Oryzias latipes: one gene and its partner. The protein of the gene in region 1 interacts with the protein of each later gene in a biochemical or structural test. Links are inferred from orthologs where the notes say so. Each region holds a gene or a part of one and is shown in the gene's direction. Other genes may lie near its edges.

Region 1 (3,500 bases):
ACTCAGTCGTTGTTGGCCTTTGATTTTTGTAACTTAAGCTTTACAACACTACTTCTTCTTCTTTTCGTGCAAGAGTTGTTGCATTTTTTGGTTTCGGCCACCACAACGTGTGCATGAAACGATGTTCCTCTGGAAGCATTGGCTCATTTCACGCTGACGATGTAGAACCTTCTGCTCAGACGAACATTTTTCCTCAGTTATCACAACGGTTCTGCAGATGAGCATTTATCATCTGTTAGCACGTGTTCCGCCGTCTTCCTCACAGCCTCTGTTGGTCCCTGCTTGCAGTCTGCTCCTGGTGGCTGGAGGCACCGTGCTGAAGATCTGTGACTTTGGAACCGCGTGTGACATTCAGACCCACATGACCAACAACAAAGGCAGCGCGGCGTGGATGGCTCCGGAGGTGTTTGAAGGCAAGTGTGGGAGGGGTGGATTCTCCCGGGCCGCCCTCAGTTCTTTCCTCGTTCTCGCACCTGACTTTGCTTTGTCACCCTTCACCTTAATTGCGTCCTAATGTCTCAGCGGAGGCGCATTAATCAGCGACTCCTCACCAGCTGCGGCGCTCTTTTTCTTTATTGATGGTAGTCTACCGAGCGTGGCGAGAAGATGAATGGATTAATGCTGGTCCCTTTATTTCCCCAAGGAAACAACACTTTGTGTTCTAATTCAGCCAGGAGCCTAATGTCTGGCTAAACGAGGAGCTGCGTTCCTGCAGAGGAGGGAAGGAGGGAAGATGAATTAGTGCTTAGTCATTATCTTGTTTTGGGAGGCAAGTTACAAGCCTCCAGTGCAATTAAGCCGCTCGCTGCTGCCCTCTCTGTGAACTCTGAGCTGCTAATTTGCATGGGAGCTCCCAGTGCAGCCGCTTTGAAGGATCTTTTCTGATCTGCTCCTTCATTTTGCAATAAGATACTCGCTAATGAAGCAACACAGGGGCTGTTCCTAGGCAAATATTGCCCCCCCTTCCCTCTGAAGGAGAGATGAAATCAAAGCTCCCCTCTCAGCAGCGGCGTTTCCTCTGCGCTCACAGGCAGCAATTACAGCGAGAAGTGCGACGTCTTCAGCTGGGGCATCATCCTCTGGGAAGTCATCACCCGCAGAAAACCCTTCGACGAGATCGGAGGACCGGCTTTCCGGATCATGTGGGCGGTGCACAACGGTGAGTCTTTCAGAGGCCTCGCCAAGTCCACCAGGAGAGCAGATGAAAGACGTGCCGCCATTTTCAACGTCTCTTCTCCATTCAGGGACCAGACCTCCGTTAATTAAAAACCTCCCCAAGCCCATAGAGAGCCTGATGACTCGCTGCTGGTCCAAAGACCCCTCTCAGCGGCCCTCCATGGAGGAGATCGTGAAGATCATGAGTCATCTAATGAAGGTGATCCATCTGTAAATAAAGGAGTTTTTTACTGATGTTGTGTTTGGAAACAAAAGAAGCTGACAGGACCTGAGGTTCAGTCATTAATCCATCATTTTTTTCTTTTAGTTTTTCCCTTTTCAGTCATAAACTGACACATTAATAACATTTTCAGACCTTTAAAAAAACTTTTAGGTTTTTTTAAATTTTTACTTTAAGGGTTAAATGTGTTCAGAGCTTTTACTCTTTTCAGCTCAACTCAAATTCAAGAAATGAACCTTTGTTGTCAAATCTGAAACGATGACTCATGAAACGTCCAGTTTTGTTGCAGGCTTTTAACCCGATTGTTTCTTTTTAAATTTATTGTAGTATTTCCCAGAATCGGACGTTCCTCTGCAGTACCCGTACCTGTACTCCGATGACGGACAGATCAACTCTGCAACAAGCACAGGTACCAAGCAAAGCAGGTCCACGTGCAGAGCCCTGAGGAGTGCCGAGAACAAACACAGAACAAACGGTTTTGAGCTCTAGATTCAGTGTTTAGGGCTCAGATTAGAAAATGATTTAATTTGATCCAATTCAAATCCATAATCTAATATTGTTTTGTTTGCTTTTGAGTAAATCTTTTGTTTTTAATTATAAGCAACTCTAAACGATACAGCTTTAGACAACGGCTCATAACTCTAGTTTTGTTTTTTGCTGCAGAGCTACATAAAAATTAAAATCCATTAATAAATCATTTCAAATGTCTTTCAAAAATAAAGGTCCATTCAAAACAAATGAATGTTGGGAAATTTACAGCAAACCCTTCTGAGATCTCTGCATTTAGAAAACCAAACCGAACATTTACCATTCTGTTGTTTTTTTCAAAGTGGTCTCTTCTGTTGTGCGAAGAAAAAGTTCATTCTTAGAAAAAGCTTTCCAGACTGTTTCTAACTTCCTGGTTTTGAGGACTGAAGTCTTTTGAGGGATCCTGGAGAACTGCAGAGCTTCTGACTGTCTTTGCTACAGTATTTTCTGAGTTGAGGGCTCTGATGTGAAGGAACCCCCCCCTGTCTGCTGTTTGTCCAGTTTCATATTTGGACTACACCAACACCAGCAACAAAAGTGACGCCAACATGGAGCACAGCGACTCTCAGGGGAGCAACGACACCATCAAAATCACGCCTCAGTTCCCGGCCTTCAAACCAAAGGTGCTGCTCCCTTCCTGTCCTTGAACCCTGATCAGGGGGGGTCGTCAGACAAGTGAGGCTTCTCCTCTTTTCCTGCAGGTAGATCCTCTGAGGTCTTTGCCGTTGTCCAGGGGGGGCAGCGTGGAGAGTCTGCCCGCTCGAACTCTCTGCTTGGGTGACGGCAAGAGGATGAGTGCAGATCTGTCAGAGCTGGAGCCCAAGGCGGCGTTTGCCCCTGCAGGTATGAATACAGAGGGGGAGCGTGACCCCCATGTGCTGCTCTGGATTCAGGTTGTTGTTGTAGCCTCCTGTGCCCCACCCTGACCCTTGGATCTAACCAGCGCAGAAGCAGGGGGGCTGCTTTTGTGTCGCACAGGCTGCATGTGTCTGCGCTCTGCATGTCTGCGGCGACCCCGCCCGTCCGTCTGCATGCTGGCAGCTGTACGTGTGTGTGTGTTTTTGCAGCAGCCACACAGTTTAGGCGAGGCCACCGTAAAACGGCGTCCCACGGAACCATTCTGGACGTCCCCAAGATCGTCGTCACAGGTACCTGTGGACCAGTGGGCCTCCTGGTGATCGGGTGGAGCCTTTTTGGGTTGCTGTGGTGGTTGTAGCTCTGCTGTGCGTCGCTCCATGTGGTGCTAAGTTTCTACCCAGCATTCCCTCTGTCTGTGCTCCTCATGGAGTAGCATGCAGCAGAGTCCTGCTTTGTGTTTCCTCTGGCTTTAATCTGGCAGAAGCAGAACTTAAGCTCCCCATCAGTGCTCAGCTCATCTTCCTCAGATGCTGATGAAGATGACTGCTCTCACTCGTGGCTGCTTTCTGTCATCCTGGAGAAAATCAGTTCCTCACTCCTGAGCTTTGTGTTTGTCCTCATCTTCCAGCGTAGAGGATTTCCTTCCTTCCTTCCTTCTGGTTCACTTTACAGCAGACCTACATGGAGGAGAAAAGCCCACACTGTCACTCAGATTGAG
Region 2 (4,157 bases), on another chromosome or scaffold:
AGTTTATGTGTATTTTACGTAGTTTATACGCAATCAATAAGTAAATCTGTGCATGATTTTTACACGATGCACACGCAGATTTGTGGCTTTCCATGTATGTCCAACAGACTTTTCCCACATGTATCACCGATGTATAACTTTTATATTATGTATACGGCACGCATATAACATTAAAATGATCGTTTTCGTTTTTTCCGGAATCCGGTTTTTTAGGAGTTTTTCCTTACCAGGAAGGGGGGTCTAAGGGCAGGGATGCCAGTATAGCTTAGTCAGTTTGTTAGTTCCTTTTAGTATTTTTCCTAATGAACTCTATGTATTCATGATCCTTTTGAGTTCATGCTTCACTTTTTCAATTCCCGATACAAAGCCCATTGAGACGACTGTTGTTGTGAATTTGGGCCATACAAATAAAATTGAATTGAATTGAATAAATTGACGCACGAGTGACTTTATACCTTATTTTTAAAGTCTCTCAAGCTGCTCTGGACTCCTGTCTGTTATTTAGATGACAGTATCCCCCCTTTAGGTTTCACACAGGATGCCTTACAGGTAGTACTCTGCATTACACTCCCCAAGGGGGAGCTGCCTGTTTCTTGGTGAGGAGCTGAAAAGAAGCTATCTTTGATTTCTTCTGCTCATTTATGTTTCCCTTCAGAACAGAGAGGCCTGATAACGAAACAATCACATGGTCAGGACGGAGCAAAAAAAAAAAAAAATTTAAAAAGCATTCATCTTCTTCCGTTAGTTCCCTTTCGGGGTCACAAGGCTGCCAGAGCCTATCCCAGCCACTTGAAAGAAATTGAAAAAGAAATTGAAAAAGCATTGCAAAATATGATTTATGTATCTCATCTTTTGATTTTACTACATTTCTATTCACCTTTTTTCACATACAGTTTGTTTGGGTTCTAAAATAAAAAAGGCACAAAAAAAACTACATAGCTGCAGAAATTCAGAAATATGTCAACCCCAATGTCAACCAGTCACAGGTTTCTCTACAAACCAGCTAGATTTTTTTATTACGCAACAGTTCCATCAAGTGGGCGCAGCATCAAACTGCAACCCTCGTCTCTGAAACCTTTCTCTCTACTTGATCATGTTCCACACAGCACAGCTTTTACATAAAAGAAAGGGAGAAATGAGCATTGTCTTTAAAGTTTTTTTAAAATATAAAGAAACCTTCACATTTCTGCTATAGAAATATGTTTACATGTGATAGAACTAAGCAGAAAATCTATGCTGCAAAATCCGCCCCAACAGGGAAGTACTTCAGACAAACTGTTTTTATTTTTTTTAACCAACATTTACTTTTGATTAAAGTTGTGCAAAACCAGTTTCACTTTCAGTTGTGGAATGAGGAAGAGGACAGACAGAGGCTCACCAACAAATGTTTCAGGACGCCCAAATGAGAGAAGGAGCCCCGATTGCTGACATTTCGTAGTGAGAGATCATATTTTAATAGCAGGTTTTCAAGTATATCTTCAGGTTTTGACAGAATGTGACTCATGTGGATGGACGCCATACAGAGATCACTAAAGAGCTGTGTTTTGTCTACCTATGGCGTCCAATGCAAACTTGTAAAGCGAGAATTGTAAAACTCGTGGATTCTTGCCATGAATGATCACATCTGTGTTTGGCAGGCTGGGGCGTTGCGAGCAGCACAAGTCCAAGATGGAATCTTGGAGCATGGAAGCTGATGCGAAAAAAGCCCGTCTGCCATGGAGCGTTTGCTGAAGCAGCGTACAGAGATTCTGCGTGCTCTCTGCAGTGGTGGGTCAGCTGAACATCTGGAAAGCATTTTGGATATACTGCTGGCTCAGGAAGAGATCACATGGGAGGACTACCAGAACGTACAGGTTACAGGAAGACCACTGAACAGCAATGCCAGAAACCTGCTTGACCTGGTTTACACAAAGGGTGCAGACACCTGTGAGCTCTTCCTCGCTGCTCTCAAACAGATTCTGCCAAAAGAGCAGGGGGCTGGTCTTTGCTTCTTAGAACACTCATCCACTTTGGATGAACTAGAAGTCACTCAGAGGACATGGACGGAGACGGTCCTGAAACGAAGACCTAGTCTGGTCTGGAAACTGCAGGGCTCCGTTCATGATGCGGTGGAAGCTCTTGTGGAGTCTGGACACTTCTCCTCTGCAGATGCTAATGAAGTGCTGCTACCTGTTTACACCCCGTCTCAGCAGGTGAGCATTTTTAGGATAACACAAATGAACAAGACTTGATTGGGTAGGCAGGCTTTAGGTATTTGCATTTTTACAACTGTTTATTAAAATATTACAATAAAGTGTTTAAATATATATTTTTTTGCTTTGGTTTAAAGTTCCTTTATTTTTCAAGAGTTTTTTTTAATTTTAGATTTTATTTATTTATTCGATACAGGGACAGCGCATATTAATAATTATTTCTGTCAATATTCATTCAATTTTTTATCTGGGTAGATGTTAAAATCACCTTACAAGATCAAAATAAAATTACATATTTACATAACATTACATACATATATTAAACCATACATTCAGTAAAATTAGTAGTTAACCTAAAATTAAATTGGCAATAAAACAATCCAAATCGGACAAATGCATAAACATATACACACACACAAGACAAGATAGTAGCGGGTAATCAGTGATAGGAAGTGTACGTAGTGTTGACAGCTCTGATTGTCAATGAGCCATTTCTTTAACTGTGTCTTAAATGATTTATATGTGATTTGATTTCTAATAGTCATGGGGGTGAAGTTCCACTCAGTAGCAGCTCTAACAGCCCACTTAAATAGTAAACCAGCAACCATTAAAGAGAGTTTCAACTGCTTTTAAAATTTGCTACATCAAATCCTGCTAACGTATGGATTAATGAGACCCTGACTTTTTGAAACTGTGTGTATGTTTTATTCTAACGTCATTTAAAAAAAAACACACAAAAGATAAAGATCAAATGGCCATAGCAGTCAAATTGACTGTTTGCTATATTTTTCTGATCTTTTTTCTGCTCCAGTGTCTTTTTGTTTTTTTAATGCTCTGTTTTTTGATGCTCTCTGCTGTGCCAAGTAGAAGAAAAAAACAACTGTAATAAAAGTTACCAGGACTTGGAAAAGGTTTGATAGGATAAATACTCCATGACATAAAAATTAAAATTAATTAAAAGAGAAATTTCATGTCCTTTCTACTTTTATAACATGATTTTTGTTTCATTTTTGTCATGGATATATACACGAATATAAAGAGAAACTAGAATTTTCCCAAAATGTGAACATATTTTTTACTTTTGAGAGAAGCTCATATAGGAGGTCAAATGACTTTCTTTTAAAACAAAGACGCTCTGTGCAGCTAATGTACTTCTTCAAACAACTCAGGGCATAAACAGTGTTTTCACTTTTTATTTTTTAGGTCGACTGTGGTGAGATATCATCTTTTTTTTCTTCCTGCTGCTGTTAACAGGAACATAAACATGACTTTACTGCATTATGATCCAGTAGAAAAAGTTCACAAAGAGTACATAAATATATGTGGGGTTTTTTTAGCAGCTCGCTTCTGTTTAAATACTAACCATTTTTGTGCAGCATGAGACAATATGTGCTTTGAACTGAACTGAGCAATTAAAGAAGGTCAAACTTTTTACCAAAGTTTTGCTTAATACTTGAAATCTGTGTATTCTGAAGGAAGCGTAGAGCGAACAAGGCCTCTTGATGTCAGCAGGGATGTAAAAAACCTTAGTTTGTATGTCTTCTAGGTGCACCTGAGCCATGAATTTATAAACTTAATTGACCAAATTCGGGTACACCGAGTGAGTGACAATGTTCTGACTCTGTTTTGGCTTACTGTGGCTGCCCTGTTTGTGTTTTAAACCCTGACACTCGCCCACAACCTTTCCCAACAACTGGTGTTCCTGGCACCACCCAACAAAAGATCAGCAGCTTAATTCTTTAGCTCGAATGAGATATGCAACTCTCTATCCGTTGCACAATTTTAAAGTACATGCCAAAGACTGTTCTCCTCTTACAGATTAAAAAAAAAACTACCCACTCCTCGACATTTCTTGTACCTAAGATTTTTCTTTAAAGCACTTTTAACCTAAAATGAGTGACTGTCAGTTTTACTCTCGTCATGTTCCTCATTTCTAAGTCACTTTGCATACAAACATCTGCAAAA

What was found. The genes of interacting proteins can lie anywhere in the genome.
Region 2: the proteins of map3k7 (region 1) and nod2 form a complex in vitro, tested with the Homo sapiens proteins (2 studies listed by BioGRID). The link is inferred for Oryzias latipes from reciprocal best matches to the Homo sapiens genes MAP3K7 and NOD2.

Annotation. Positions count from the first base shown.
Region 1 is NC_019882.2:20,581,833-20,585,332, reverse strand, and holds part of map3k7 (mitogen-activated protein kinase kinase kinase 7), read left to right. Parts: intron 1-288; coding exon 289-413; intron 414-1,030; coding exon 1,031-1,159; intron 1,160-1,244; coding exon 1,245-1,375; intron 1,376-1,723; coding exon 1,724-1,805; intron 1,806-2,425; coding exon 2,426-2,547; intron 2,548-2,625; coding exon 2,626-2,767; intron 2,768-2,991; coding exon 2,992-3,072; intron 3,073-3,500. UniProt on the Homo sapiens protein: Serine/threonine kinase which acts as an essential component of the MAP kinase signal transduction pathway. Plays an important role in the cascades of cellular responses evoked by changes in the environment.
Region 2 is NC_019861.2:30,238,001-30,242,157, reverse strand, and holds the start of nod2 (nucleotide-binding oligomerization domain-containing protein 2), read left to right. Parts: upstream 1-1,357; 5' UTR 1,358-1,437; exon of another isoform or gene 1,438-1,637; 5' UTR 1,638-1,715; coding exon 1,716-2,192; intron 2,193-4,157. UniProt on the Homo sapiens protein: Pattern recognition receptor (PRR) that detects bacterial peptidoglycan fragments and other danger signals and plays an important role in gastrointestinal immunity.